Daphnia pulex: one gene and its partner. The protein of the gene in region 2 binds, or shares a complex with, the protein of the main gene of each other region. Links are inferred from orthologs where the notes say so. Each region holds a gene or a part of one and is shown on either strand. Other genes may lie near its edges. The genes, in order: nucleoporin SEH1-like and GATOR complex protein NPRL2-like.

What was found.
Region 1: GATOR complex protein NPRL2-like (region 2) and nucleoporin SEH1-like share a complex: the UniProt entries of both Drosophila melanogaster proteins name them as parts of the GATOR complex. The link is inferred for Daphnia pulex from reciprocal best matches to the Drosophila melanogaster genes Nprl2 and Nup44A.

The regions. Positions count from the first base shown.
Region 1 is NC_060020.1:7,744,907-7,761,079, forward strand, and holds nucleoporin SEH1-like, read left to right. Parts: upstream 1-5,958; 5' UTR 5,959-6,133; coding exon 6,134-6,244; intron 6,245-6,307; coding exon 6,308-6,464; intron 6,465-6,522; coding exon 6,523-6,674; intron 6,675-6,749; coding exon 6,750-7,096; intron 7,097-7,158; coding exon 7,159-7,319; intron 7,320-7,392; coding exon 7,393-7,556; 3' UTR 7,557-7,700; downstream 7,701-16,173. Other genes in the region: meckelin-like, read right to left, coding at 2,239-2,319, 2,389-2,531, 2,605-2,716, 2,780-2,842, 2,903-3,077, 3,158-3,423, 3,484-3,684, 3,759-3,981 and 7 more; zinc finger CCCH domain-containing protein 14-like, read right to left, coding at 10,751-10,855, 11,013-11,265, 11,328-11,430, 11,503-12,038, 12,106-12,380, 12,443-12,958, 13,031-13,138. UniProt on the Drosophila melanogaster protein: Probable component of the nuclear pore complex (NPC). Involved in maintaining the localization of another nucleoporin Mgtor to the nuclear envelope of early meiotic female germline cells.
Region 2 is NC_060028.1:1,951,399-1,967,781, forward strand, and holds GATOR complex protein NPRL2-like, read right to left. Parts: upstream 8,314-16,383; 5' UTR 8,048-8,313; exon of another isoform or gene 7,970-8,047; 5' UTR 7,927-7,969; coding exon 7,864-7,926; intron 7,792-7,863; coding exon 7,674-7,791; intron 7,604-7,673; coding exon 7,355-7,603; intron 7,284-7,354; coding exon 7,147-7,283; intron 7,089-7,146; coding exon 6,991-7,088; intron 6,925-6,990; coding exon 6,794-6,924; intron 6,710-6,793; coding exon 6,667-6,709; intron 6,602-6,666; coding exon 6,475-6,601; intron 6,349-6,474; coding exon 6,169-6,348; 3' UTR 6,095-6,168; downstream 1-6,094. UniProt on the Drosophila melanogaster protein: An essential component of the GATOR subcomplex GATOR1 which functions as an inhibitor of the amino acid-sensing branch of the TORC1 signaling pathway.

The DNA of each region.
Region 1 (16,173 bases), on a different chromosome or scaffold from region 2:
TCACACTTTTTTATTTTATTTTTAAAATTAGAAAATCCCCACGTAATCTCTTCAAAGTTGAGACGAGCTTCATCTAAATCACCCTTTTTTGCTTTTTGTCTTTCGCCTTTAGGCCCTAAGGGCAAAACAGGGTTGTAAACAGCCATAGGCAGCACAAAATGGGTTCTTTTTAGGACGAGTGACCCACTCGTCCTATCCATTATTGGGTGGTTTTTACCAATATTTTTTTAATGGGAGACAATCGAGTGGCACTACAGTGCTCTACTCACTACACCACTTGCTATTGCTTTTCTATTGTATTTAATTCAACGGGTTTGTAATATTTTTGTACAGCGGCTTATCTTTCGTCGTTTTTCATTAAGTTCACCGCATCAGCGCTAGGTGCGCTCAGACTTGGAAGAAGTCCGAGGGGGGTGGAATAGAGTTTGAAGGAGGCATGTCCGTAGAGGACCCATCAAGAAGACGCCATCTCCGAGAAAATCTTCCGCCATATGAGTTGGACAACCATAAGTAATGGCTCTGATATAGGGCTCTTTCAGATCTGTTTTATTTTGCCGTTTTATCTGGCAACGCAGCATGGCGCCGTTCCTTTTTAGCGCGAGAACGGGGAGAATAGGGAGAATGGGACGAATGGGGGAGAAGAGGAAACGTGGGTCCCCTTTTTTTCGTACGCCCTCCTCCCTCCCATTCGTCCCATTCTCCCTCTTCTCCCCTTTCTTCCCTCAAAAAAACGTAAACAACGCGTTTAAATCATTTTTCACAAGAAAACGTGAATTCAAAAAAAATTACATCAAAATATTCCCTATTCATTTACCAATTTAATCACTGCTATAGATTTGTTCAAAGATACACTTGGAATAAACTACACACTATATTCGAAGAGACCCTCAAAAAACCCATAAGAGCTACTCAAAAAGTCAACTTAATATGGCCGCCGCGAGGTTTCCATGGCTGGGGTATGCGTCATTGGTTTGCTCTATTGGGTCATTCCATCCCAACTCGATTTTTTTCGTCGCGGAAAAAATAGAAACTGATGATTTTTTTACAGTGTGTTTCTTATGCATCGATCATGCACTCTATGAAATCTCAGATTTTTAATTCGAACAGGAAGCTGTGAAATTGGAATCAAAGTTTCCGGTTTTGCATTAAATTTGCATGCGTAAATAGTGGTTTTGCTCGTTTTTCGACCATTTCTACTTACGGCATCAAAAAACAAAATACATGGAAAAATCGGAAATAATTCAGATTTTCCGAATCTTTATTCAAAAATTTAATTATGTTTTATTCAGTTACCCTAATACTAATTTTTAATTTTAAATGCATTCAGATAAAATCTCGTTGGCTGTAGAGATTTGAAATTTTTACCGAATATAGAAATCGATAATGTTTAACGTCATAAAAAATTTCCCCGTTGGCCTGAATTAGTTATGATTTATTTAATTTTATCAGATAGCCCTATCCTCTAACATAGGACAAAAGTTCTAGAAGGGGGAGAGGCCCCAAGGGATATGCGTCTAGGGAGTTGCCCAAGGCTCGGTTAAGGGGAGGTCCTGTGTTAAGAGAAAGAGCTAACTTTTCATTTTAAATCAATGATAACTAATTCACGCTGGTCTGGCGGACGCTGAAAATTGTTATGACGATAAACATTATTGATAGGAGAGCGCAAAGAAATCCATAAAAAGAAAAAACAAATGTGGAACTTGCCGCCAGGGGTGATTTTGGGAGGATAGTTTCCCATCTGCTGCGAGTGTCAATGCCCGGCAGAAATCGTCGATCAAGTTTGCGACCGTTGATCAAGTTCCCGGAATCATCCAGGATACATCCTATCATCGAGTAACTGAGATCGCGGCGGCTGTTGATCAAGTGTTTCTGCCGGGACATTTAAATTGCCATTATGTGGACGTTGCGGAGTGCATTCACTTCGACCAATCGAAATCATTTTTGTCTTTTTCCTATGCGCAAACCACATCGGGCGAGCCAAATAAAAATCTGCTGTTCACGGCACCCCTTCATACAGCAACGCGCCGCTAGGGTGTCGGCTAGACCCATTTCTTTAGATACTAATAAGGTCTATACAGGCAATTCACATCACGGTTTTGCGTGTCAATTGTTTCGATCAATTGTTTCAGAGAAATGTTGAAAATCACAATTATGTTTTTTTCCTGTTTTTTAATAGGCTAAAATAGAAGAAAAATAGAATGCTAGTGAAATTAGAAGAAAACATCGTAAGAAGTCAAGCTAAAATAGAAATCGGGAATCAATCATGGTTTTCTTTGCCAAGTTACGTCTTCCAAATCGATATCGAACAAATTGAAGTGCCTAATATTTGAAGGATTGTTAGTTGATCTATTTTCAATCACCAAGTAGTTCTCAATTACTTTTACTTACTTTAAAAACGATGAAAACTGTAAGAGCAGCAGTGAGGTAGCTATGGCAGTACACATCTACCAATGAAAAGAGCAGCATTTCAAAACTCACCAATGTCACTTCATTGCCGTAGAACAAAACGGAATCGAAACAATTTCTTCCATCTGCAAGTACAATAAGGTGGACATGTTATAGAATGCACCTCATATTGACGAAGTATGTTTGATCGAGGTGTACCGTTATAGAATATAGATCGCTCATTTTGCGACATATTCCACCACATTTCTATATCGAGTACGGTTTCCAAGAAATGTCTATCACGCACTTCGTAGTCGAGTTCCCTGAAAGCCTGTTTAAAAATAAGCCTTCATTTGTACAATTCAGTAATATTGTAAAAGGTTGATAAACCTACATGATCCAGGAAAGATGTAAAAAATTCATTCAGCTTGAAAAATAGAGTGCTGGTACCGCTAGACTGATCCAACATTATCAGATCAATTGAAACGGAAAGTAAATAAAAGTAAATAGACGTCACCTGATTCTTTATAAGTTTTCTCCATTTATCTGAAAGAGTCTCGTGGAAGAAAATGGAAAACGTTTGAGTGTCTTGACCCTGAACAAGACCTCGTTGAGCGCACAGATTTTCTTCTTCCCTTTGTAATTGTTGACACATGGTCTGCATGTCGATGTCTGCAAATCCATGCGGCGATCTAAATGCCCGTCAAAAGTAAAATATTTGAATTGTTAATACCAAGAAAGATTTAAAAAGTTAACTGAGAAGATAAGGAACCTTCCGTGAATGTAGAAGCCGTAGCGCGAGTGAATTCGAAGCCAAACTGATATGTTTGAAAGTGTACAGACATCAGTAAATCGTTGGATTTTGTGCTCAACGTAACGTTCGAAGAGCGCGGCATTCAAAATATTTTGCGCTAGGCTGAAGAAGAGATAGGTGGACAAACCAAGCGCTAGGCGCAACACTGTGTTGTAATTTAAAAACGTGTCTGCCATGAAATAAGTAGCTGGAATTTCTAAAGAAAATCGCTCAAACTGGAAGACCTACCAAATGACTGGTGTTTATTTTCACGCTTCATTATAATCACAGCTCACTAATTATACCTTGAGTGTCGATAACACTAGAATGACCTGTATGGATATAGAGCTTTTACGCGCTACTTGAAGTTCGTTCCATTCGTTAGCAACAAAGAACATCCTCCATACGCTAACTATTTCGCCTTTCGTCGGCCTCGGACTCTCCCAGTCAATAAGAAAAATATCGACGTTACATTGTTCTCCGATCATCCATAATACACTAATCGTCTGCAAAGGATCCATAGATACAATCGGATACAATTAAAATGACCTGACTATGAATAGTTCCAATTATTTCAGACCTTTAACGTGAAAGCACTAATGACAAGGTCTTTAATAAACTGTTCTTCTTGCCTTGCAGGAAGACTAACAGTCACTTCCTCTTGTTGTCGAAAGGTCATAAACCAGTAAAAAGTGATGAAGAAAATCACTATTAAAATTACGTTGGCCAATATGTCTGCTCCGTAGACCAACAAGCGAATTAGAGTCTGAAGATCAATTGTTGCTTTATCTGATCTTATGTACCTGGAAATTATTTATTATTAGTGAAAACCCAATCAAAGTTAGCTAATCAAATTATCCAAAGTTGCCAGTACATACCATACGACAATCCTTATCAAAGCATAAAGAGCCCCGAAAGTGCTCAACACGCTCAGTGCAATCTATTGATAAACCAAAAAATTCATTATTGATAACGTGATTGTGAATGCGAGGAACAATGTGATAATTTCTACCTCAAGAGATTTCATAGCTTCATCCATACTAACGGTATTTTTTACAGCGAAATGAATAACGGGTGAATTTCCATTCTCAAGGCTACCAATAGATTCGTAGTTGATTGTTGCATAAGGTAATCGTAATGCTAGTGATTTTTCACCAGACATAACAGAAATTCTAAGAAATGCGTTCAAGTTTCAAAGTTGTTCTCGCTTTTTTTTTATAATGAAAAAACTTACCTAATAGTAAGAGAAGATAGATATCGGACGAAGTCGGTGTTTCCTTCTTGATTACTTCCAGTTGCCGAGTCAAAATTAAAGAACCTCTTTGTGAGTTGCCATCGAGAAATATCTTTATCCTCCTTTGTTCATCAGGTTTTAGTACCGTAGTAATGTTGTATTTTCTGAGCGTATAAACTTACCCTATTACGTTGAACGCCTCCGCGAACAAGGTTCAATATTTTTATTGGAACGTTGATCAATCTTGATTGATTAATTGCCCGATCAACGAAATAAATTTCATAAAAGCGCATATCAGCCATGTTGAAAACTTTCGAATAAACCGAACAGCTGTGATAAATATTGGCATTTCGTTGGATTGGTTTCCAAGTTCCAGTGCAGCACAATGATTTAAAAACCGATTGAAGAGGCTGGATCAATAAATATGTACCATCTAATGCGTATTGTTTAACCATAAAATCCATTTTCTAAAAAAAGTCATTAATGAAAAACTTTTCCTGTTTAGTCCGTAAAAGTTATAGATGCTACTTGATCTTTCAGTATGTTTATCCTGGCGGAGTTTAGTAGATATTCGTTTTGACTATCGTCGTAGTATATTGAATTGCTAAAGCCTCCAGATAATTGTCGATAAAGAGAGCAAGCTGACTGAGAATCGTAGTTGTAATCCGTTAAGACACAGAGATTGATCAGATGTTCGCAGTATTTTCCTCCACCGTGTGCCTTTAAAGAAAAAAAATTGGTGTTTAATAGCACAAACATGGTAAATAATTCCTACCTTGCATTTAATTGCCGTCAATCTAACCCAATTCCGCAAATAATTAGAAATGTAAGGTCTCCCGTGTAAGTTATATGTAAAGATAGTGGGTGTTTCGGGAATCGTGAATAAATCTTTGACGCAAGTTCCGTTCACATCTTCGTATTCACTAGGACAATGACACATGTTCGAACAAGGAACGCACGAAGATTTTGTGTCATCAGGCTGATGCCAAAGCGGGCATTTCAGACATCGTGCGGAGGTAATATTTCCAGTAATTTGAAGGACTGTGATAAAAATTCAGAAATTAATTCTTCTTTACTATACTTAGCAGATAGGACCTAGGTAAATGTGCGTTTTTCATACCTTTGATGTCGTACGGTTCACACGTGAGATTGCTTTTTAGACACATTTCTGACTGAATTGATTGGTTACAGCGTAAGCATTCAATTGCTTTGGACTTTTCATTAAATTCAGGGTAGTAGCCAAAGCCACACTCACAACTCAAACGGTCATCGGAAGATATTTGAAAGACCCCGCAACCTTTGCACTTATGTGATATCGAATCAAAGTAGGAGGAACGATTGCAGCTTTCAGGAAACGAAGACAATATGACATCGTAAGCCTCCACCTTCTTTAAGATGAAAAAAAGCAGGTAATGAGCAACTAACACGATCATCGTCACTTTAAATTTTTGTTTGTTTTGTAAAGCATATTTGTTACCTAGCAACCACTCCCCAGCAATGAGCCAAGTCAGCCAACCAACAATATCAGAAAAAACATCGTTTCTTTCATGAATCAATCTGGCAACGCCCACAACTGTCCCATACTGCCATAGTGCCATACATTTGAAGTTTGATCAGTCGAGCTGTCGGCTGCTTGCGTTCTTGCTTTCTTAATTCTGTGAAATTTGCAAGCAAAAACTTGTTTCTCGTGATTAAGAAGTGATTTAAAAAGTTCTGTAAACATGTTTCAAGCAAGAACGATAAATGCTGAACACAAAGACCTGATTCATGATGTAGCTTATGATTTTTATGGGCGTCGATTGGCTACTTGTTCCTCCGACCAGAGTGTTAAAGTAAATTGTTAGAAATCGAAAAAAATTTCTTGTGTTAACTAAATTGCGGAATTATCTTTCAAGGTTTTTGACCTGGATGAAAATGATGAATGGAGATTGACTGCTGATTGGAAGACTCATGCTGGTTCTGTTTGGAAAGTAAATTGGGCTCATCCTGAATTTGGTCAAATTTTAGCCACTTGCTCATTTGACAGAACAGCTGCAATTTGGGAAGAAATTGGTTTGTAAAATTCTTTACAATTTTAACAACTTAAATTAGTTACTAAATGCATATCCAGTTGGTGAATCAGGGAATTCAACGCAGAGTAAAAACCAAAGTCATTGGGTGAAAAGGACAAGTTTGGTAGATTCAAGAACCAATGTGACTGACATCAAATTTGCTCCAAAACACATGGGACTATTGTTAGCTATGTGTTCAGCTGATGGAGGAGTAAGTTCTAAGATATATTTATTACATTGTTAAATATATAAACCAGATGAAAATGTCAATTTTATAACATAATAGGTTAGAATATATGAAGCCCCAGACATTATGAACCTAAGTCAATGGAGTTTGCAGCAAGAAATAACACTGAAAATGCCTGTGTCTTGTCTATCATGGAATCCGTCATTTTCTCGTCTCCATCCTCCAATGTTGGCAGTTGGTAGTGATGACACGAATGTCGCCTCTGGTGGAAAAGTGTTTCTGTTTGAGTACAGTGAAAGCTCCCATCGCTGGTCTAAAGCTGAAACTATCAACACAATAGTCGACCCAGTGCATGACATAGCATTTGCACCTAACTTGGGAAGAAGTTACCACATTCTAGGAATTGCAAGCAAAGATGTTAGAATAGTTATTCTTAAACCACCTCAGTAAGTAGTTAAAATATTTTAAGGATGGAATAAGAATAAATTTATAATTTTTTTTATTAAAGGAAAGATGCTTATGCAGCAGCTTGTCCAACTTCCCAGTTGGAGATACTGCAGGCAGCCCAATTTGATGACCATCATTCTACTGTTTGGAGAATCTCTTGGAACATTACTGGAACTATTCTAGCTTCTTCAGGAGATGACGGCTGTTTAAGAATGTGGAAAGGCAAGAAATCAAGAAATATTTAATGCCATGTCTGGCCTATTAAATCAGCTGTTTTTACTGTCTATTTCCACAGCCAACTATTTGCAGAATTGGAAATGCATTGCCGTGTTGAAAGGTGATGGATCGGGTGTAAGTCCAGAAGACGGAACTGATCGTGATAAAACCGTTTCTGCAGCAACTGCTCGTTACTTTAAACTTGGCGCAATCAGCAATCCAAATCAAGTACCCTGGCACTAACATTTACTTCCCAATTTTTATGATAATAATATGTCTCTTCCAATCCACACAAATAACTGGGAGTTTTCATTTCTGGAGAAACCCATGGTCTCGAAAATGGAAAGTTGTTCTGAAGAAATAAATGAAATGATATGGAGTTTTAAACTATGTCATTTTTTCATGTCACATTCGTTTAGGGTCAAGTTGTTATAAAAACACTTTTCTCTAGTAGAGTAGCTATTTGTTTTTTTGTTAGGAGGGAAATGATTCAAATGATTTGATCATTTTCAGCTGCATTACTGCATACATTTACACATCTCTAAGGACATTTACAACAATAAACTGTAAGGTCATTTTTGTGATTTTTGACAAAAACTGAATATTACAAAACTCACCTGTTAGATTTTTGCAAACGTTTGTTTTTGTCTACCTCCAGTTTAAAAGTCAGTAGTTCCGTAAATATTATCAGTAAGTATTATTTTGACGCAAATAAGAAAAGAACTAAGGATTTGTGATCTTCGTCAAATTTTGGGTCGATTGCATGTGTCTGTAGGAAATATAGGAAAATCATCCTATTCGTGATTTTCCCTAAACTAGTGATAGCCATCACAAAAATTTACGATTTTAGTTTTAAAAAAATCATTTTTAAACATGGGAAATTGAGCTATCAGTTCCTTCCGGTAAATTTGTATAATTCTAGCAAGTGAACTTCATTCTCTTTACAGTTTTTTTTTTTAGATTTGAAGTTAGCAGGTTAATACAAATAGAAATACGCTGTTTAAGTGTTGTAATTATCTAGATGGCTTAATTAGTGGACTGCCTCGTCGAGTTGCATCACAGTTTGCATGGGTAGATATAAAACTGTGTGTAATCAGCACGATGACCGAAAATAGTAAAATGCATCTTTGGTACCTAAGTGTTAATTAAAAACAAAGCGATCAGTTTTCTTAATATTATCTGACAAACTCTCAATTTCTCGGATCTCATACTTCATGCCCTTTTTACCTTGTTAAAATTGGTTAAAATCAGACGAAAACATCCTATATTAAATAACAACAATGATAAATCTATATAATTGACGAGTGAATACGGCTACAGCTATATCTTGTTCGTCTTTAGTCTTACCCGTAGTTACCCGCAGATAAAGTGATGATATTCAAGTCGATGACTACAAACTAAATTGGGACTAACTCATACAAATTCATGGAAATAACAGAACTTTGCCAAGTTTTCCGTTTATAGCATTACCCCTTATATTTAAAAAACTTTGTTCGTTTGCTTCTTTTATGAATCTTTCAGAACACAAGTGCAAAAATTTTCAATTTTGCGGGGAAATAATACTCTGTTGCTTAGTTCGGCATAGCTATAACACAATATAGGGTGTGCGGGTGCGGCATGTGAAATCACTGTCCATCAACCGTGGCGGCTGCATCTGTACTTGTTAGCTCATAGCCATCGGGCAGATGTATAGGTGGCCTACCAATTACCTCCGCTGTCTATTTCGATGCTATTCACCTCAATGATCACAGCATGAAAAAGCCATACCATTCTTCTCGCTTTACATCCCCCGAAACCAATGTGATATGATAGCCTAGTCTTCCAGTAACACTGGTTATTGAGGGTGCTAGTTGCAAGCTCCTCCCTTTGATACATCTATCTTGTCGACTAAGGAAAACCAAAGCCGTTCGCGGGTCAGCCATCGGTTTCATTAGTTAGCAAGATTGTCGCCCAGTGATGTTGAGTTGTCGGAGCTCTTACTCAAGCAAATCTATTTAGACGTGTGCATTATTTCGAACCTAGAAGATGGATTCCGAAATGATCAACAAAGAGCAGGAAATTAATCAAGAAGGTTCCACAACAGAGGAGTCCACGATTAATAAAAACATTGTTAGAAACAGACTGCCGCAAGAAGGAGTTTTCATGGCTGCTGTAGACAAACCAATCGAGTTAATTACCGTTAGGCCGAAACCGAAAGTTGATTTCAGCATTGAAGCAATCCTATCGTCTCGAACATCTACACCATCAGCGATTGTTGTCACTTCATCGGAAATCTTCACCTCCGAATCCAAGTCGAGGTCCATCAGCGATCACAGCGATCCCAACTTTTCCTGGGTCTATTGTACACGCTACCGACCTCCGAAGCTTCCACGTGAGTCATTTGTAACACTGTTAATAGAGATAGAGACATTTTGTTAACTAATGTAATATTTCTAAAGGTGCTAAAAGAGAAATGAACTTAAGGAACCGTTACCGTAATCCGCGCATACCCTTCTCTACAACAGAGGTGGGGGCATTGGAGAGAAAGTTTCTGCAGTCTCCTTATCTTGGTAGCAACGACGTCAACGAGTTGGCCGCGGCACTCAACATGTCCCCCAAAAGAGTATGTATTATTTTCAACTATCCATAAATATTATGCTAAATCTAATTCTACTTTCATGTCTAAAACTGCTGCTGATTAATTTAAGATTTTTTAATTATTATCCAACGTACGAAATTTTATGTTGAAATGCAGTCAGACCATCTGATGATCCGTTACAGTATGTGTGTATCTGTTGCTTTTCACTACAAAATTTAGTTTAAATTGAAAAATGTGGGGGGTGATTTACCTTTCGAGAAACGAGAGCGGAAAAGTTTTTTGTTAGCGGTAAAATGAATCCAAGCAGAAAGAATGTTTGTGTTGGGCGCTGCTCTTTTGTCGGTAATCTATTGAAAGAGCGCAATCCATTCAAATGCAGGCAACCGTGTGCTAACACGCTAACCAATAAGAAAACCATCATGTTTGTTGTAGGTATTGTGCAGCTTTAGCCCCCATCGACGTGACCTAATACTAATTGAGAGAGTAACATACTGTATCATGATAGAATATCCGTACGCGTGCCGACAGTCGGTATCGAGTTTCAACCGAAACGGGTCCTATCGAATTCCTCTCACATTACAAGTTTTCTGGTTCTTTCAACGAACTTTGTAGACTGTTAATGTTATCAGTTTCGAATCCGATTGACTGTGAACAACCTATTTATTTGTTTCACCCTCTTTTTTTTTTATCTCTAGGTAAAGATTTGGTTTCAGAACAGAAGGGCTCGCGAGCGTCGTGAAAGGGAAGTTCAATAAAAACACACGTACGTCTTTAAGTTTCGTGTATTGGAGTGAAGGTGGCTACGTTTCGAATCCACGGTCGGCGATTAACATGCAAACAACACCAGCAACGCAATTTCTCACTTAGCATTTGTGACCCATTTGAGTTTGTTTGCGGACGGGATGTTTGTTTGATGAAAAAATGTACAGCCAACACGAGTGCAGTTTGATCCATACTTGCACGCCTAGAATAAGAAATTTCAATTCGTTCATCATTTTAAGAAATTGTAACAATTATTTACTAATCATGCAAAGTATAAATTATGTATCACTATTCGGGAATACAAACATTTTGATATACAGTAAAACAAAATAAAAATTGTGCTTGCTCAGTTAACTTACCGGAGGATGGAAGAAAAGACAGCTTACATTGTTACAGGATGGGAAAAACTTGCAAACCGTTTTGCCATTCACAACCGGTTGCTGCTGATGCATTTTTGCTGAAGGTTGTATTATCTTTGGTGCAACAGAAACGACAACTTGAGATCGTTGACTGTGCGTATAAGGGCACGATTTCCGAGTGCAAGTAGTGTCAAATTTGCATGGCGGGTGAATAAATAAACAATTTTCGCCAAATAGACAAATCGGAAAATTTCTGCGACGAAGAATATATGTAAGGAAAACGAAATGTTGAAAATTCAAGACAATGAACCTTACTTGCACGGGGTTTTGGGGTGGTGGAAATGGCAACGGTCTCCTTGACGGCAGTTTGGATAAAATTTGCAACGTTCCAACGTTTGTTGAACTTCAGCCTCAGTGCCTAGATGTATAAAATCAAAATTTGTTATTAACACGTGAAAGAGACATAAAGTGAAATAGCAAAAATTGTTACCGGTGCTACGTCTTCGAAAAAGCCGGGTTTTAACTGGCTTCCGCTCGGCATCTTTCATTTCGGTTGCATCATCGTCATTCAAGTCTTCGTCAAAGCATCGGCTCATTAAAGAGTTTACACCGTCAAGGGTGACAATGAAACGTGTCTCGATTGTCTGGATGTCGAGTGGTGAATCAACGGGGCTTTCCATTTGCTCATATGAACTTTCGTCAGGCACTTCTACTTTGGTGAGAACTGTCTCTTGAGGTTCCATTATGGCAAGGTCAGTATCTTCAACAATTGCGGCAGACGGTTGGCTATCAACTTCCATAGCGGAATCATCGGAAACCTGGCAAACAGTAGAGTTTGTGGTATTGACAGCAAGTGTTTGGGGGTTTAGGTTCTTTTCACGATATTTTCGAGTGAAAAGCGCTGGTAGAGACTTGGTCTCAGGTTCCGTAACTTTAGGTGGATGGGAGATGACAGACTTCTGTGCCTCAGCAACAGCTTTCAGAATCAAACAATTTGTGGCTTGCATTTTTGCTGGTAATTTGCGTCTGAAAACGGACAGATACAGATTATGAACTAATGGACTCATCTATTTTCAGAATTAAAAAAAATTGCCTGGCTGTGACACGAACAATGCTGTTGATTCCGGTTTTGTTATTAAAACTTTCTTCGTCTTCTTCTTCTTGTTCGTGTTTTTCAACCTTCAGTTTTGTACGTTCAACAGGTTTGATTATTTGACTGAGCATAGGTCGCACCACGGAAACAACTTGAGATGAGATGCGGCCGTCTGTTCTTCGTGGGCGACTCCTTTCTTCTCTGCGAACTTTTTTAGCAAATCGATCTTCGGAGCTTCTGGTTTGTCGCCGTTTTTTCGGATCAGAAAGTGATGACTAGTAGAAAACGATGAATAATTTAGAAATGAAACGCTCACATTCAGAATAATTATTCTTACTTGATAGTTGGCGGATGATGCTGAATTCCTCTTTTTCAACAGTTTATCTTCAGAACCATGAAAATCTTGTTCGATTTCCTCCCTGATGTTGAGGCAATCATCATCCATATCTCCTTCAGGAGAACGATGTACTTGTACTGAAGGTAGTGAGTGTAAAGAAACAGGCATTGGGACGTATGGTTCCTTAGATTCAAGATTTGATGGAATATTATGGCTTGATGTAGCATTATTATGAGCCTCCATCTGATTTGATTTTAACAGCCGGGAAGGTGATTGTTTGACTATGGGAAAGGGATTTTCAACTTTAATCGGAAGGGAACATACTTCAACTCCTGCTTTTGGTACTACAGAAGTTACTTCTTTCACTTTGTCAGTAGCATTACTACCACCAACAAAAGCCTCAAGCTTTTCAAGTACAATATGTAGCCAATCTGTAAATTTGTCTGTGTGGCTTCCAAGAAAAAGAGACAATTCACTTGTCATTTGGCTCTTAGATCTCCTGTTTGCGATCATCACCTATTAATTACAAAATTTAATAAAATAATTATGTAGTATGAAAATAATTCACATTTATATTTGGTACTGTACCATTATGTAGTCAGGTAATTCTTCATCAACATAAGCCCCAATCTCTTGAAGTTTTGCTTTCACAGCACATTTGATTTTGTTTCGAATTTCATTTGTAATTCCTTCCATTTTTATAAAAATAATCTTCTCCTTAAACAAAATCACCAAATTCTAATACAAAGTCTTCTTCTGAGTTAGTCAATTTTTAAAGATTTCTCTAGTTGAAATTTATATAGTCCCGTTTTATTTTTTGTTGTTCGCTTGCAGCCGATGACACGGGACTGGAAATGCTGAAATACGGGATGAAAGCCTCTTCTTCCTAGGCTTCTTTCTCGTGAAAAGCGCACTGCGTGCTGCCGCCTGCCGCGTCGGCGTCTGCATAGTGCATATGAGCATAGCACAATGCAGAGCATAGCACAATCATAGCTCTGCAAAGTCTTATTTGTTAGTTCATTATCGTTAATCAGGGGATAAACCACATAATTACATAATGTATGTACTGTATACTGAATAACTGATAAGAGCTTGTTTTGCACTGGCATAGCCAAGTCATTACTCTGCTATGAACTGAAAAAGTAGATAAATAAGTCAGCCAAAAATATGAAATTTAAGAATAAGGTAATAAAATTTAAAACCATCAAGACATTTGAAACCAATTCACCGAAACGCTTCACCTGTTATGCAATCAACGCTGTGCCAAAAAAACATTTACAGTTGTGTGTGAAAAACGTCTACAAAATTTGACATTTACAGAGCGTACACATAAAAACTGAGTAAAATCCGTCTAAGATAGCAGAAATTATGACTTTCAAGCTGAACAGGAATCTATTTTATTAATATGCATTAGTGATCTTGTTTGCCAACGGGATTTTTTTCGAAATCTCATTTTGAAACCGTGGGCGACTTTTATTTATTGGTGATATGATAAAGCCTACCACAGGGTATAATTTTCACTCGGACCTTTTTCAACGTCACTGGCTTGCTCAAACTTTTGTTGCCGCTTGCAGTTGATAATGAAACGGATTATATGGATTAAAAATGTCAAGTATTTTTAATGCTACTTTGTGATATGCAAGGTAATGTGTGAACAGGGCGTGTGAGTGGGTTGATTCCCGTTTTGCTTCAATATATAAAGGCCAAAATTTTAAACCAAATTACACACCAACTTCTTCTCTGCTTCCGTAAGGTAAGAACCGTTTTATAATTTATTTTACTCGCCATACTTATCTTAATCTGCCTGTGTGACGAAAAAATGTTAAACGGTGTAAAATGAATTAGTTTCAGACTTTCAGTCGTATTGAAAATGAAAAACTTCGCGTCGTTCGTTTGTCTGATGCTCGTATTGGTGGCTTCCACCTCCGCTTTGCCGGGAGTCGCTCGCGCTGCTCCACAATGTCCGGAAAACGAAGCAGGCAACGTAGTTTTCTTCCCTGACACTACCAATTGCCAGTGAGTACAATTCATGAAAAAAAACACTACCCATTTCTCAAAGACAATATGCAATCAAATAAATAATGACTGTTTTCTCTTGTTCTGTGAACCATTTCCAGGAATTACTACATGTGCTCGTGGGGCGTTGCCTACTTGAAAAATTGCCCAGGCGAACTCTATTGGAACAAAAACATTAACGTTTGTGACCACCAAGCGAACGTCATATGTTAAACAACGAATGCAATCGAAATGACCCACACGTATTGACCATTAAAAAAAATAAGAAATGTGAATTAAATGGATCATTTTAAAAATACAATAAGTGAGAAGTGATGAGCATCAGAAACAGAAATCGTTGTAACTTTATTTTTTGTTCAAGATTTCGTTCATGCAAATTGGCACAGGTGAATAGTCTTAGTCTTACCGTCTTTTAAAATTTATTCGTCGGTGTTTTTTACGGGTGCATAAAAACCAATTAAAGTGAGATATGATTTCTGAATTCGAGCCCAACAGGATGGCCATTTCTAGCACACGTATTGTGGCATCGGTAATGAATAAATGGTTGGATATTTCGCAATACGTTTTATTGCACAATGGATGAATATAATTATATTTTATTGCACTGAACTTCCCGACAGGAGAATTTTCAATGTAGCACTCGCCACTGAATTAAATCATTAAATGGTTAAAGGTAAATTGGAGACTTGCGTAAGGGTAACTCCCTTATTTCAAGGACTCCATATAATATTATAAGCCGCCAAAATATTCCATTGCCCGTTATCTCGAAGTAAACACAATTTACTAGATTCAACAGCTAAGTTTTAAAACTGCCACGATAGCCTGCCTCACGCAGTGCTTATAAAACAAAGAGGATTCTCTATCAGCTTGTTGGTGCTGATGACCTTTCTCATTGTTATTGATAAAAATGCTATTTTACCTCTGATCCTGAAAGACTAGACGATAGGGGAGAAGAGTTTTTGTTGAGCCTCGGCAACAATAGCATGTAAACGAGAGTTTCATGATGACGAGAGAGGATGACATCGGATCTCGAGCTGTCCAAAAGATTCCGTCACCGACTCGATACTTTTCTGATTGTGTCGGTCTATCCAAAGATGTTGGTAGGGAGGAAAGGAGGAGGAAATATAAGAGGCGACTGTTTCGGTCTGTTGTTTCTTGACGGAACGCGCGCGAGCCTATGGCACTACACGGAAGAGCCTGGCCTCGTACCAACGAATAGTTGATAATTGTCTTGCAAAGCCAAAAAACAAAACAACCACACCGCCGCCTCCTCGCTGCCGTTTTTACAGAGGCAGAGATGGATAACTGCTGAGTTATTTTTATATAATGTACACTTCTTCTTCTTCTTCTTCTTTTAATACTTGTAAATGTGTTTAACCTTAGAACCACCCTGGTTGAAGGAGAAATGCGTTGCCCAGATATTTATGTATTGTACACAAAATACAACAAAAGAGGCTAATGATAATAATAAATTACTAAGACTAATAATACGCGTGGCGGTATTTATTACATTCTGCTACGGCTAAATACAGTAATGACATTTGTAAATATCGGTACTCTGTCTATGATAAATCTTCCACACTATTTGTATATTTTCTTCTCTCTCTCTCTCTCTCTGTGTGTGTGTGTATTGATCTTATAAGGAGACTAGCACCTGTTTACGCTTTCCCATATAGACGCTGGTCTAAAGGGTATAGGTACCGCGCGGCTGCGCT
Region 2 (16,383 bases):
GCTGAGAGCCCCATTTTAGGCTCCTCCTCTCCCTGGGGCTCTTTAACCAATAGGACAAACCCCACACGCCCAGTATCACCGAAAAATGTTCGCCACTCGCTCCTATCCAATTTTTTCGTCTGCTATTTAGTTTACACACGTCTTCATATTTAAAAGAGATAAAGACATTCGATGCCTGGAGGGCTCACCACGTAAGAAAGGGAAATGTTTGTTTCTTTGGCCCGGCAGCTATTATAAACCAGCGGCATTGATGAACGGCCCTCTGATTGCTTGTGACATAATGACGCGGCGGCGGGCAGACGTGATGGCTCTCTCCGGGTCCCGCCCCCTGCCCTCCCTCAGGCAGTTCTATACCTAATACTGCACCGGACCTGTATCTATCCCCCCCTGCAAAAGAATTCCACCCAAAATATAACATCATCATCATTTACACGTTAAAAGAGACCCTGCGGTGATGGGCGCCAAAATGAATTTGAATTTTAAATATTCAAAATTCTAAGTGAATTTTTTTAAATCTTTTGAATTTGACTCGAAGAGACAGTCGGAGACAGTTGAATCGATTCCCGATTGCGTGCAGTTAAACATTTTATTGGGAATGAATTTGAATTAATAATATTATTCATCGCCGTTTGTTCCGTGTATTATTTATTGGCAGACGTTTGCTGCGCTGATTCTTTTCCATCGTCGCAGAATAACTGCCGGCTCCTGATTGTGTTGCCTCGGGAAAACTATCCGCCCTTTGATGGCCGACTGTCAGGAGCTCCTCGAGGGTTAGACAGACGTCGGTGTTCCATCAAATGCGACGCGCCGTGACGGAACGCCGTCGAAATTCCCGACAGACTCTTCAACCGGCCTCCCACACAGACACAGACAACATAATAGACCGGGCCCCTTTTTGAATCGTCGTCCTTGCCCCCGCCTCTACCACCACCACCACTACACAACCGTTGACGCTTTTCGATGATTCAATAAAAATAGAAAACAATTTCAAAAAAAGTTCTTGGCTTCTCTACTCATTAGTCCAACTCAGTCACCATATCCATCTCGTCGGCCCGTCGTCGTCGTTGTGTATGTCCGTGCGCGCATTCCAAACGGTGGGCCAAAACGGATCATGTGAAGAAGATATCAACAGCTAACATTTATTATTAATCATCAAAGTCAATTATAAAAGAGAAAAAGTCGCGCGGGCTCTCATTAAAATTCAAAAGAAAAAGAGTTCATCAACTTATTATAACTTTTAGTTATTATCTATTATTATTATTCGAGTCATTTGGTTTATACATGTTTTATAAACAGAAAATTAGCGCAACTATACTTTACTACGTATTTACGTTATAGAGCCCGTTATTAATGAGGGGCCAAAGTGTTGAGCGTGATTCAATTGATTATAGGCGGCACGCGGACCTGTTTGTATTAGTCAATTATCTCCGAGTTATTTAAGAAATTTTAACTTTTTTTAAAAAGAAAAAAAAGAGAAAAAAATACGAGACTCAAAGTATTTAAACTCTGGGGGTATGTACTATGTAGAATAAGAGAGAGAGACCCCCGGTGTCGCCAGTACGACGCCAGTAAGTCCCCCGTGAAATGCGATCCGTGGCCGGCCATCAGCAGCACAGGCCGTTTTTCTTTGCGCCGCCGATGACTATAGTATATAGGCCTTTGGGTATATAGACTGTGTAACTGTACGACTCTAGCTGTTCAATTCTAGTCGATGAAGCATATCTAATAGACTGCAGTGTAAAGAGAAAAATAAAATCCCCAAGTTGATGGTGTCATCGAGTTTGGAAAAGAGAAACCGAAAGTCTATCGTAACACACACTATACTCGAACAGACATTGCGTCATACCTTTTGTTATACACCCAAAAGTCATAAAACTGTTGATCATTTTGGAGTCACAATCATCAGACATGGGCCTGTACGATAGGCTGTCGAAATGAATATTTCTTGTAGAGCCGATGATATCGGATCCCCTCCATTGAATAACAGGCCATCAATTTCAAACTCAACTGATTGTGTAAATGAACGTGGAGAGGGTTTTTCGAATAATATTATAATTTCTTCGGGATCGAATTGCGTCGATTCGACTCCGCAGTCTAAACTCTTATACAACACCACCGCAGTCTGTCTATCAATTCTAATGGCCTTCCGTAAAAGGTTATCAAGAGGTTATAGGGTTGTTTTGCGCGCTGCTAGCAACACGAATCCTCTCATCTACACAACTTGAATATAACGATCGATATTATTACCAAAAGTCTAAGCTACTACATCGTTAGCTGGGCCATAGAGAGATTAACAGTTCGTTCCAGACATTCTTCGGATAATTTTTCCACGGGCTCCGCAAAAGGTCATCTGGGTTGGTCCTGATGAGAGCGCGGTGACCTCTCAAAAGAAGAAGAAGATGAGCCATTCGGACACACGGCGTATCAGTGTCAACTGTCACAAACCCCCTCCATTGAGTTTGACTGGGCGTGTCGCACTCGTCTCCCTTTCACTCCGCTTAACTTCTCCTCTCTAGGCCTCTGACTGGATAGATGCGCATCGATCTGACGACTCGAGTGGATATATAACGTCATCCTCGTGCTATACAACCCTCCTTAGTACTTACTACTTCTACTACATGAGTTTAACTCGATCCTCATGAACAAACCTGCATAGTCAAGGTCTCAATATCGTTGGAAAAAAATAGGAGATGATGTTATTGTGTTTGTTTTTTGGAAGGGGGGGACCTACCATGGAGGTCAACAAGTAGAAACAGCTGATGATTGAGTTGTTATTCTCCTGGCGCCACAAAGTATATGTACGAAAAATTATTACAACTGTTAAAGTGTGTGTGTCTATAGGCCGAGTGTAAATAATTTAAATGGTCGGAAGTCAATACTATCTAAAGTGCGGAGTTGTCGAATAGTAAATCATCCGTCGTAACATCTTCTTCGACTTCCTCCCCTCTTGTTGGTTGCATGTTATTATGCGCACCACCCCACCCCACCCCGTTTTCTGTGAACTGGGACCGACGGGAATTTCTTTTTACTCCGCGACGGAAGAGAATAAAATTTGTGGGTCTCTCCTTGTCGCTTTCGATTCCGGTCATTCCGGCCCGTCGCCCGCTTTTTTATTTATTTCCCTCCCTCCGTCTGGACGATGGGGAAATTTGCTAATTCCCAACATCTTAGCGGCCTGTTACGTCGACGTTCATTCAAATGATGACGATTGATATTTGCATAATCATCGCCGACTGTCAACAACTCTTGATTTTGATTACATTTACTTCCTATAATGATGTTAGAGTGCGAGATCTGGTCTCTCATTCCGGTCCGTCTAAGATGACACTACGGCCGTTCAACTTATTTTCTGACCCTTTTTTTTTCTCAATTGGGTTGTTGACGTGTTTAATGGGCGGGGGTTGGTGCTGTTTTATCCATGGCATTATTCATATGGACGGATGATTGAATTAACTCATTACGGCCGACGCCATCCAGCGGGCACATCTACCGTGCCGAATCCGAGTGGTCGATGACTTTGCCTCGTCTGCTGTCTGCTCTGGGCATTTCATTGGCGATCAAGTGACGGGCATATCCAGCTAGGAGCCAGTTCAACGGCTCCTATTTCAGCAGATTCAACTCGACTGACTATAATGTACAGAAGAAGAAGGTGTTCAGCGAAAACAAATCGAGTTCAGCTTCTTCATTAAAGTGTGAATAACCTTTTTCAATTTTAAAAAAACATTATTGGGGCTAGACAACCAAACTCTTCCGGTTTTGGATATGTAATATACTCCGGCGCATTACAAATAAACAAATCAGTGTCCTATTACCGCAGGCCTATATAGGCCCCACCCCCCTCTTCCGCGTAGTACATGGACGACACGCGACTTAAATGAATGAAGTTAAGGGCGAGAAATTCATCCGTCAAAAAGTTGTTGGATGAATAGATTCTTCTTCCAGTTAAGCGCTGACAAAGAAGTTTTTGGGGTAGAGAAAAAACCCGATGGTGAGGAGGATGGCGCGACAGGTCATATCCGGGCGCGAAAAAGGAGACCTGTGTCTGCTGTGTGTTGATGGTGGTGGGTGCACGAACAAAGTAGAAGAGGATACGCAATCTGGTTGTGGTCTCCATTTTCCTTTTTTTCGTTGCCATTCGAATAAGACACACACAGAAAAAAATAACTCGACTCCATATGTGTTTGTGTGTGTCTCTGCTGCTGTGTGTAACCGTAGCTAACACAAACTGCGCGCTCAGGGGTTATGTCTACACGACGTTATAACGGCCGCGACTATGTGGAACCAGCAACACACACAAGTCTCGGGGCCACAAGAAAAAGAATGATGACCTGCAGCATGGGGTCTCCAGGCCGTTTGCTGCTGCTGACATCGGAGTTTTTCCTAGTACATAGGAAGAAGAAAACAATCAGCTAGGGAAGGAATACGAACGGGTTGCGCGCCTGCGTAATGAGACGAGAAAATAGTCTTGAAAGGAGGGGTGGGGGGTGGAAGGGTGGAATATGACAGGCACAATGTCGTCCATCAAACTTTTTTTCAAATTAGCACGTCCCTCGTTTTGGTAAAAAAGATTTGGTGGTTTTACTACCAGCAAAAACTATATCGCGTGTGCTTTTATCGGCCCCTATGAACTCCTGGGCGCCCTCAGACCGGATTTGCATATTTGTGGGCGGTTGGGTGGGAGTGCAACGATCGATTGATGAAAGTAATCCAAGTCTGTGGAAAAACGACACAGTCATCGGGCGACTAGAAGCTGAAAATGGCGGCGTATTATTAATGGACGTCGATTATTGATAGCCATCGCTAAAAACAGCCGAGTGTAATCGACCATTTCCTCACAGCAGCAGCGACAAATTCGATATCTACGCATATCACACATGTACAGTTTAAGATCTACGGCGTATAGGGTTGATCGCGTCTACTAAGGAAATCGATCGACATTTAATCGCTCCAATCGGCCGGCTCTCGGGTTCGCCCAGCAGGAAGTTGGGGTGTAATATTAAACTGGCGGAGCCTATAGTATTTTCTATATAATTATTATTCCAAATATCTGAATGCAGAATAATTAAACCAATTCAATTATGTGTACATAGTAAATAATTAAAAAGAGTTGAATCGCCAAACAAAAACATATTTACGCTTTGAGAAGTGTCCGTGTGTAGGAGAGTAGCAGCAGCAGCCCCCATTGAGATAGGCCCAAGTGGTGGGTGACCGTGTGCGTCGGTTTAACAACACTTGTCGACAAGCTTGTCGACTCCTTATCAGCATAAACTTCTTGGTTGGGGTTTTTCTAAAAAAAAAAAAGGAAACACAAAAAAATATGTTGTTAAACAGCAGCTAGCCTGGCGACGCTCTTATGTATCTTTTTGGGAGCTACTTTGAAAGAAACAGTAGCAAGAGAGGCTTTTATCTTTTCTTTTCGTGTTATTTGTAAAAAGAAAAAAAAAAAATTCTCTGGCCTCCCGTCGCCATGTTGATGCGTGTAAATCTTATTAGGGTTTTTTGTTTTTTTGGGTGGCGGCCAATGTGGCATAGCTACTACGCTGGTGGGAAGTTCAGTCCCATTTTTGTGTGGGGTGTGTGTGTGGGGGCTTCTATTTTCTTTATTGTTTGTTTTGTTTCTTTTTTCGTCTATTTTTCCCCCCGCCGTTTTAACAGCCGAAAAGATTGTCAACTAGCCGACAGATTTACTGGTGTACCTTCCAGCCCGCGCTCTCTATACGGCTGCTGGAAATATAACTCGCCCGCGTGAGTGCCCCCCACCTTGTCTAGCGCAAGGGGAAACGGTAAAAAAATAAATTCCACAGGCATTCTACTATATAACTCGCTCGACTTTCAAGACGGTGGGAAGCCAGCAATGACTCCTAACGAATCGCCAAACACGAAGGCGGGCGTTCCCGTTCATCTCTCGACACCGGGGCAGCACCACCATCCCAAGTGGCGTGATAACAACGGAGGATCGAGAGGACTTGGTGGGTTGTGTGTGTGTGCAATCAAGACGGATCCGATTGCAAACGATGGGGAAAGACGTGCAAGGTGATCCTCACCAACGACCGTTGAACTTGCTGCTCCTCCACAATCGAAAAGAAAAAAAAAGTGGCCATTATAAAATTTATTATTGAAACTTAAATCAAATGATACAAAAAGATATGGGGTCGGAGGGAACGGATTTCACTTCCACAGGACGCAGATGTCGACATCGGCTTCGATTTTGTCGTCCAGTTCGTGGTAGGACAGTCCGGTGCGGCAGCAGATCTCGTCGTAAGAGGCCACTCCAGTGCACAGCCGATGCAACGAGGTCATCTGTTTCTTGTGCGATCCGCGCTGCGTCTCCGGTTTGTACACCGGATACTAGCCCATTCAAACAGCGTGCAAATTGAGTTATCAGTTCAATGGGAAATGGGTTATTCGAGAACCGACGTCCAGGAAGAAATCGAAATAATCAATTGGATTAATCAACAGCGCACACTCGCTAACCTTGCAAATGCGGCGGATGATGCCCTGCAGGACGCCAAACTGGACTAGCCGATGTTCGTCGATGCGAAGCGCGTGCGGATTGAAGCGCAAGCACAGGTCTCTTATGGTAGTCCCGTACGTCATCCCACTGTCATCGATTACAAAATGAATTCATTTAGGGGGGATTTGATAAGAATTAGAGGATAAACTCACCAGTACATTTGGAAAACATCTCGGAAGGAAGGAGGATGTCTATCTGTAATATAAACGAGAGAAGAAATTCACAGTCAACTTGAAAAGTGGATAAGATGATAACAAGACACTTGGTATTCTTCTCTACCAGATTTGGCAACAAAAGCGATGCACTCTCGACTCAAATCTGAATTCATGGGCAGTTCTCGGAGTTTGGGTGTAGCGGCGTACATGTTGCTGTACTGGAAGATGGGAATGAGCTGGACGACGCCGTAATATCTAACCGAAAAGAGAAAATAAGGTCAAGAGAAGGACAGCACTTGACTACTATATCAATTGACTTACAAGAGATTTTGAATGCAGGCTTTGACCAAACCAATGTCCACGTCGGCCTCGATTGCCACTCTAGCGACATGGCTGCGTCCATCAATGTATGGCAGTACCTTACGCACGAAAAAGGGTTATTAAAATGAATAAAATAAGAGAATCATTTTCGTTTACCTGTTTGGTTGTTAGGTCCCAATAGTCTTGTTTTAAAGGAGAAAATTCTGACGTGAACACGGGAACGTGGTGGTCAAATACCAGGGGTGGCTCAGCAGCTACTTGGATCACTTTTAAGTGCAGTGTTGAGGTCCCAACTGATCAAATCAATTTGTAAATGTCGGAAACGGAAATGTTAGACAAAAAATGAGAATCTTCATGTACCTACCTGTAACTGTGCACAAGCCACCCCGATTGAGATCACTTAGAATTTGACCTAAAATTTTGGGCAACTTGGCCCTGTTGGATTCAGTGGATAAAAAATTCTGTTCAACTTCCAGGGTGACCAAATGCTCAGCTAATTTCCTAACTACAAGCTCATACTGCACTGTTCTGGCATCAGAGTCACACACAAAGCACAAGTTGAAAATGAGAAAGTTACGTGGGTATTTTTCATCTGAAATGCGCACTGGATATCCTGTAGGTTTTAGAAAAAAGGATGGTAATGAGTCAAAATACTTGGACTGTTAGAATTCTTGAATAAAAACCTGTTATCTTGTGCCCTAGTACATTCACTGTAATGATACAACTGTCCAGCTGCTCTTTAGGAATGATGTAAACACTAACTGCATCAAATATTTCTTTGGAAACATAATCCTCTGGCACCTTTTAATCGATATTAAGACAAAGCACTGAAACAACAAAATTACTTTATTTTACACACCACTACACCATTACCTGGTAACTGATTTTGGGCCCCAACGTAGGATGAAACTCGGAAAAAAATATTGCTTTGATCATTTTTCTATTTGATTTACTCGACTATATCACTTGGATAGTCAACCTATGAAAAAGGATTTCTTTAACATGAGTAATTCACATTAAAAATCAAAAAAATTAGTTAAAATGATAAGGAACACACAAAATCGCCCCTTTATTTGATTTAGGCTACCGTCTGAAGCGCCATGTGAGGTCTTGTTTACAGAAACGCCACCATTTCAAGCCATCACTTATTTACAGGGAAATTTTTCAAGTAACGAAGTTATAGTGATTTAGGTCCAAGGCACTTGAATTTGATTAGTTTGCAATATTCGCTGATTAATCGGACCTGGAAAAGTGTCTAAGAAATGACCATTTTCTGCCTCTCAGATTACACATAAACATAAACATCAACGTCAGCGCCGCGTAGCGACAATCTTATCGTCTTTCATCACAAACTGTTTGATTACGAGTTTACGACCGAAGTTGGGCTGGGGCGGGAGGGGCAGCACTAAAAATTTACGAAAACGAAAATTTGAATTTGAACTGTTTGATTACGACCGGAGATTGGGCTTGGCAGGGGCGGGACCAAGGGCCAAGTAGTCCAGTCATTTTAGCTGAAAAATATACGAGTATACCTAGAACAAATTTTAATTAGAAATTTTTCATGAACACTATTTCTAATTTTTTTTCTTTAATTACCAATGAAGGAGGACAAAAGCGACCATTTGGATCGTTTAAAAAAATGTAAATGAAAATTTGTAATTGGGAATTAGGGGTATAATTATAACGATTTATAAATGTTTAATACATGTAATCATAGTTTATCTATCAATAAACATGTGTTGCAAATTTGAATCAATTTGATTGACATTTACTATTTTTTCATGAATTTATTAGTTATACACATTGTTTTTTATTTAAGAAATTTTTTCGCCGTGTTTAACACGGCGCTTATGGCGGAATCCCAAAACTAAAAATTCATACTACATAAGAAAAAAAAACACCCGAAAATCCCCACTTAGTCTTATTTTGAAGCCCGTTTATCCTTCTTTACTTTTTTCAATTACATTTATCAAAAGTAACACAGCAAAAAAGTTATTGGAATAAGAAAAAAATACCCTTTTTCCAGTTTTACCAAATGATTTATAACACACCCACAAGGGGGACATTTTTTGTTGCCGCTGCAACTTTATCTCGACTAAAAAATGTCCCAGTGTCACTATCAGCTCTTGTTTGAGCTTCGTTTTTGTGGCCGAAGTGTCGATGAAGATGACAGCTTTCACTCCTCATGGCTATTGGCAGTCTCGTTGCAATTGCTACGATGCTTTGGTCAGTCATATGGGTCTGGTCTGGGCAATAACCACTTACACTATGGGCGTAATAGCTTCATCGATGATTCGGGAACTTTTTTTGGTTTAATTCAGAAACCAAAATAGTTGAAATGATTAATTACCAATTCAACTTTAATTGCTGTAGCGTCAGAAATTGGGTGGACAGCATCATTAGTTTCAGCAAAGTCCAACTAAAGACACATTCAATGTGAAAAATAAGTACAAATTATGAATACAGAAATACAACATACCTTATTGTCAAAAGTATCTGATGTTACCGGTACATCTTCAATTTCAGGTGCATCAACAGTCACGTAGACAGCATCACCATTTGCAGATCCTTGGTCCACCTAAATAAAATAGAAATAACAACATTATTATTAAAGGTTAGATTAGGTTTAATTCAGGAACCAAAATAGTTGAAATGATTAATTACCACTGCTGTAGCGTCAGAGGTTGGGTGGACAGCATCATTAGTTTCAGCAAAGTCCAACCCAGGTAGCACACAGACTCTGTTTCAGGTCTGTTTCAGATCTGTTTTTGAGAGTCTGTAAATTGTTTGGAGTGGCACACTTTTACAGACTGTCATACAGGTCTGTGACAGATCCGTAAAACGGGATCACGATTTACAGACCAAAAACAGATTTTCAAGAAAAAAAAAGATTTGCCTCCTTCTGGAATCGAACTATCAACCTCTGAGTTCACAAGCCAGTACGCTAACCACTACACCATAACTCGATATTATGTTCTAGATATATTTCATAATGATGTATATTTCACAGTTGTACACTTGTTCATTCAACAAACAGTCTGACATGTCTCTCTCACGAAACTGATTGCTACATATGACTACCACTGGTCTCTTCCGATAGTAACAAGACCAAGATTGGCCCCACACCAATTACAAGTCTTTATTATACCTATTTATGTATAATAATACTTCTCCGTCCGGTGGATAAACAACTATTGTTGTTGTTCGAGTAGGCCTACTGAACTAAACTCATAGCCATTAGCTGCATTGACTATTAGAGTGTAACTTCTTACTGCATGGTATTGCAGTGATATTACACATATAAGAAACGTTTAATTCAGTTTTCCATTGGGATCCAAACATGTACCATACTTGGGATACAGACACAGATACGATGATTACTGACTTATAGGTGTTACAAGGGAAATAAAGACCCGTACATACCTGGGGCACAAACACAGAACAGATAATCACTGAACTAAGTTTTACATAGAAAATACAGACCTGTACCATACCTGGGGTACAAACACAGAACAGATAATCATTGAACTCAGTTTTACATAGAAAATACAGACCTGTACCATACCTGGGGTACAGACTCTGAACAGATGATAACTGACTTATGTCTTACAAGGGAAATACAGACCCGTACCAGACCTGGAGTACAGACACAGAACAGAAACATATTGTACTCGAAAATACAGAGTAAAAACAGACAAGTGACAAACATGGGAAACAGAGCTAAATCAGAAACAATTTTCTCAAGTAAAAAACAGATCTGTAACAGGTCTGTAGTACAGTTAAAAACCAGATTTATGTATTACAGAAAGATAACAGATCTGTTCCAGATCTGTGAAACAAACTTTTACCAAATCCTGTAAAACAGAGCCATTCCAGACAAATTTCCTGTAAAACAGAGATGTAACAAGCCTGATACTGACCTGTTTCACAAGTATGTGAAACAGATCGGTTACATGAGTCTGTAACAGCTCTGTGTGCTACCTGGGAACTAGACACATTCAATGTGACAAATAAGTACAAATTATGAATACATATATAAATACAACATACAGTATTGTCAAAAGTAGCCAATGTTACCGGTAGCACATTCAATTTCAAGTGCATCAATATTCATGTGGACAGCATCACTCTTTGCATATCCTTGGTCACCCTAAAAAAATGTTCAATGTAGCAAGTAAGTTAAGTAAAACACATAAATAAAAATACAACAACAAAAGTTAGACAAGTGGCTGTTCGACCAATAACTCAAGGTTCTTGGTGAAGAATGTTGGATTTGGCCTAGTTTGTACTCATCCGTTGACTGCAAATATGCTCATAAGGCCATAAGGGGCAACTAATTCTCCTGTCACGTCTGCCAACAAAACCTGCCTGTAATTCTAGGTATAACATTTTTAATTTTTCCAAAAAGAATTTTATTTGCAGCAATGAAATTAGAACAAATGTTTTGGAACATAGGGTAAACAGTTTTGAAGGATAGTTAGGTGTCACTCAGTGACTTAGTCGGTATCTAGAATTAAGATCTATTGTCAGTAAAAAAAATTGTTTTTTTTGTGTGGAAAACCTACCCGAAGCACTGCAGTACTTTTGAAAATCCTTGACCAAGTTAAACTTTTTTTAAAATTCTTTGGACCACGCTTGGTCAAACGACGTTTCCTCATACGGCTGGGCCCTGCAACATCCGATTTCTCTAACTCTGTTTATTTATTAATTATAAAATATTATAATCATTCTATATTAATATCTATGCATTAACCGTTCTCACCCCCAGACTCCTTCTCTCCTTCAGCCTTGGCATTGTACTCCACTTCTTTAACGGCTTCTCCCATGTGAGGGTCTGCTTCACCAGATTCTGCTTCTCCAACCTCCTCATTCTTTCCTTCAGCATCACATTCAGCTCCTCCAACAATTCCACCATCAGGGTTGTCAAGAGCCTTGACATTTGCAACTTCAATGGCCTCATCTGCATCGGACAAAAGTGGATGTGGAGGGACTGAACTTATGAACTATTTAGTTTTTAAAAGGTTTTACCATTTTCTTCAGGATCTACGCCATCAGAACTTCCCTCCTCAACAACAATAGGCAAAACATCAAAGTCTGCGTCACAAGATACATATTCATAAGTCTCCATATCCAGCCCTGTAAAGAATGTCAGCCTTAGAAAGTAATTTATTTAATGTTTAAGTTGTATTACTTGGTTCCAAGCACATAGGGCATATATGCCCTATGTGGGGTCTATGCACATCGTAGAAGACCAAGCGTTGAATTGGTTGTTTTATTTTCATTTTGTCTATAATTTCTGAAGAAATGAAATCTTTTAGTACTACTATCACTTTTTTATGTAGTTAAAACTTACCACATATGCGATTGGCTTCCTTTATCTTTTCCTTTAGTCCTTCGTAGAATTTTTTTCCCGCTGGAATGCGTCGATCATGCTGGCTTGGGACATTTTCCAAAGGATTGTTTTCTCTATTAATCCCAAGTCCTTTAAAATATAGAATACAATTAATTTTTTGTCACATGTTATTTTTATATTGAAATTATTATTTATGTTGTAGAATAAAATACTTACAGTAAATGTTTCATTTAAAAATTGTGCTACTAGAACTACTAGAACTGCTAACTAGAACTGCTACCAGAAATGGACTGCTATAGCAGTCCATTTCTTGTTGAAAGCTTGACACCTGAAATAGGTATTTGCACAATTGTATTGTTTGGGTATTATTTTAAATTACTCGTAAATAAAAAAAAACTTACGTTGGGCAATTCCACAATTCTTCATCATCTTGATTCATTCTAGGTTTCTTGTTTTAAGGCAAATCAAATTATTTGAAAAGTAATACAACAACTTGGCTCGGGAGTTCTTTTTTTACCATTTTCCCCTTTTTCAGATTCTTCATTTCCTTTTTCTGCCTCACTTTTTTGCAGTCTCAGCCGGCTAAAGGTCTCGTCGTGTCTTCCTTTTCGGTCTGAATGCAACATGTTTATTTAATCGAAATAAAACATAAAAAGTTATTTATATTTTACAAGTGTTTGTATTTAGACAAACAAGAGACATGTAAAAAGTTACACAAGTGGCTGTTCGACCAATAACTCAAGGTTCTTGGTGGCTTCCGCGAGCTTTTGCACCGCCTGGTCTCCTTGCGGAAGAGTGTTTAGAGCTGGCTGTTTTAGCGCCTCCTCTTCGTGCTCTGCTTTAAGCAGCAGTTCTGGCTCGGACTCTTATTCTGAGTTAATCCAGAGGCTTGATCTTCGTTGGATCGGGCCGGGTAGCTTGGTCGTTGCTGCTGTGACTGTCTCAATTTAGCTACTTATGCTGAGGCCTGAGTCGTGGCCGGAACAGGGATTGGGGTTTCCTTGAGGAGCTCCAACAAAGTGAGGCAGATTTTAATTTTTGGATTGTTGGAAGCCGACACCGAAAAGGATATTTCAAACATATTAATTACTTGGGTAAAATTATTAATTTCCCTTAAATGTTTAAAACTTGCCTTGGACAATGCCATAATTTTTCGTAAGCATCTTGATTCATTTAGTAGTTTCTTGTTTTAAGACAAAACTATTTGAAAAGTAAAAACTTGGCTCAGGAGTTATTGTTACCAGGTCAAAATTCAGTTGGTTTCTGTCTTCGCGGTGGGCCTTGGCTTGGTTCTCGTCAAGTCTTACTTTTGCCTCCTCTATCGCGTCACACTTCCTCTTTTTGCCTCGCGAACCTCGATTCGTCGAGCGTTCGCTGCTTCTTTATCCTCTCATTCTTTCCTTCAGCATCGCATTCAGCTCCTCCAACAATTCCACCATCAGGGTTGTCAAGAGCCTTGACAATTGCAACTTCAATGGCCTCATCTGCATCGGACAAAAGTGGATGTGGAGATGGAATTTTGTTTCCCTACAGTTATAGTTACCAGTATTGCATTTCGATGCCAAGTCTTCTGACATTGATTTGATGTTCATGTTCATGTTCATCTTCTTCCTGCCTATTTTTTTCCAGCCATCTCTCCTTTCTAGCATTCCTCTTCTGCTGTTTGTTGTTTAGTTTCACCTCCATTCACTGACCTTCCTCATCTCCTTGGCCATTTTGGATTCTGCTGAGCCCCAATATCTTCATCTGCTTTTTCAATTTCATATCCTGATCAGTTACTTCAAATAATCTGTTACTATTAGTTACCTTGCTCATCCTTATCGCTTTCTTTATCCACACAATACTCCCCCTCTTCTAAACCATGGGAGTCTTTCTCATCATCAGAATTATTGGAATAATTCCTGTTAACCACTGGTTGTATTTCTTCAGCTAAAGAAGTGTTAAAAAGTAAAGTTAGCACCAATTTTGTGGTAACATTGTCATTCTTTTACCACAGTTTTCTGCGCACACTTCACTGATAGGGTCGAGGCTGTAGTTGAAGCATCTTGATACGTTATAAAACATAAAGGAGGTACTGTCAATTTTTAAAAGTTTTCGTGGGAATTGTAAGTTCAATACTACCTCAAAGGTAGTATAACTAGTCGGCGTCTGAAAGAAAATGACAATTAATTAGTAAGAAAATCGTAATTTGAATATTTCACAATATTACTGGTGAATTTGCAACATTTCCGTTATACTTTAAGGAAACAAATGCAGACTGCAATGCAATAGAGGAAAAATTTCCGTTTGCGACATTCGTCGATAGACGGCAATGCACTTGCTGCTTTCAAATTTGCAGCTTGGAAAATTGGAATTACCTATAAATTGGAGTAACATTTAAATTATTTATTGAGTTAATTGAGATGTTTCATTTGAAAAAAAACTTACTGCTGCAGGAGTATTTTGATAGGGCATTGTTACACACACATAAACCTTGCCAGGACATTTCTTGGAGGTTCTTTGCATGGCGTTAATGATATTATGGCGTTTCTCTAACGACCTAACAAATATTCCATTGGCCAACAGGATGTCTGATTCTGCAAACTGGTGTTCACTTTGCGCATTGATGTAACTCAATAGCTTCTTCAGATCTTGATGAAGAGCAATTAAGACACGTTCATGTCCGGATATGTCAAGTTCAAACTACTTGACTTCCCTACCATAAAAAGGCACCCAATCTAATTCGAAAACATTATTTGTTAAAGGAGAATAGTGAAACATATTTGATAAATTTACCGTTCTTTGTTTTATAATTTGACAACACCGTTGCTGACATTTATGTGCTCTGGATGACGGGCAACAATTGAAATTGGTAATTCAATGCCAATTGCTTTTCTTGCAATACCTCTAGTAAAGAAAAACATAATAATCATTTCCACCAAATAATATTTATGTAAATTCAACTACGGTTCTTCAACGACGTTAATCGAAGACTGGTTGTGTACTGTAGATTGTTCAAGAGAACCCGATTTTTCCAAAATAGAAAGTTCAATAGATTCTAAATCGGGTTCCCAATCGTCCCAAACATTTGATCTGTTGGGAAAAAATTTATTATTTTGGAATAAATAATAAATTTGGTGTATTGACTACTCATCATAAGTGGTGACGTTCGATGCACGTGATTCCTCAATTACTTCGTCCATTGACATGGCTACATTTTGAACCAATAACGGAATTTCTTCAGTTCTAAAAAGAAAATATGTTTTATTTACCAATAACAAATAATAAATATTTTGATTAGTTTACGGTTGGGCCAAAGTGCTTGTTAAAAGGATCTATAATATCCACGGCCAATCCCCGAAGCCACTTCACGTACAATCTTCGATTCCAATTCTTGAGCTTAAATTGCTCTAGAATAAACAGATATCTGTTATTTTTACTTGAATAGGAAATACTTATTGATAACAAATTACCGTTGTGGTTGGTTGTATTCCACAACTCCATGAAACCTCATCTTGTGATTTTCAATGGTTTCTTCTCTTTCGGCAGGAAAGTTACATTTTTTACATTAATTTTTTTTTAATATTTACTTTTTGCATGACCATTTCTTGATGAATTGGAAGCTAACTTGGAGTTACACCAAGGATATCTACAAATAAGTTGCGCAACTTTTGTTTCCGGTTTTGAAAACAAAACAAGTTGTTCGTTTCCATCTAATTCTATTGATTGAAAGTCAATTGAATTATCCATTATTGTTTTTTTAACAGAAGATATTTTCTGAATTAGCCAGTTTTGTCGAGATCTCATTTTTTGAAAATCATTGTGGGCTTTGGAATAAAACAATTCCTTAATCTCTACAGAAGTAGACTGCATTAAAAACATTAATAGAGGAATTATTAGTTTTGTTAATGACGATTAATACATAATTGGAATTACAAGTAATTGAATTATACCTGCCACTTTTTCCCAAAGAAATCATTCAATTCTTTAACATTTGTGTTTGGAGTATTGAGCGTCATAAATATTGTTTTAGTAAACAAAGCAATTGGTAAACCAACTAG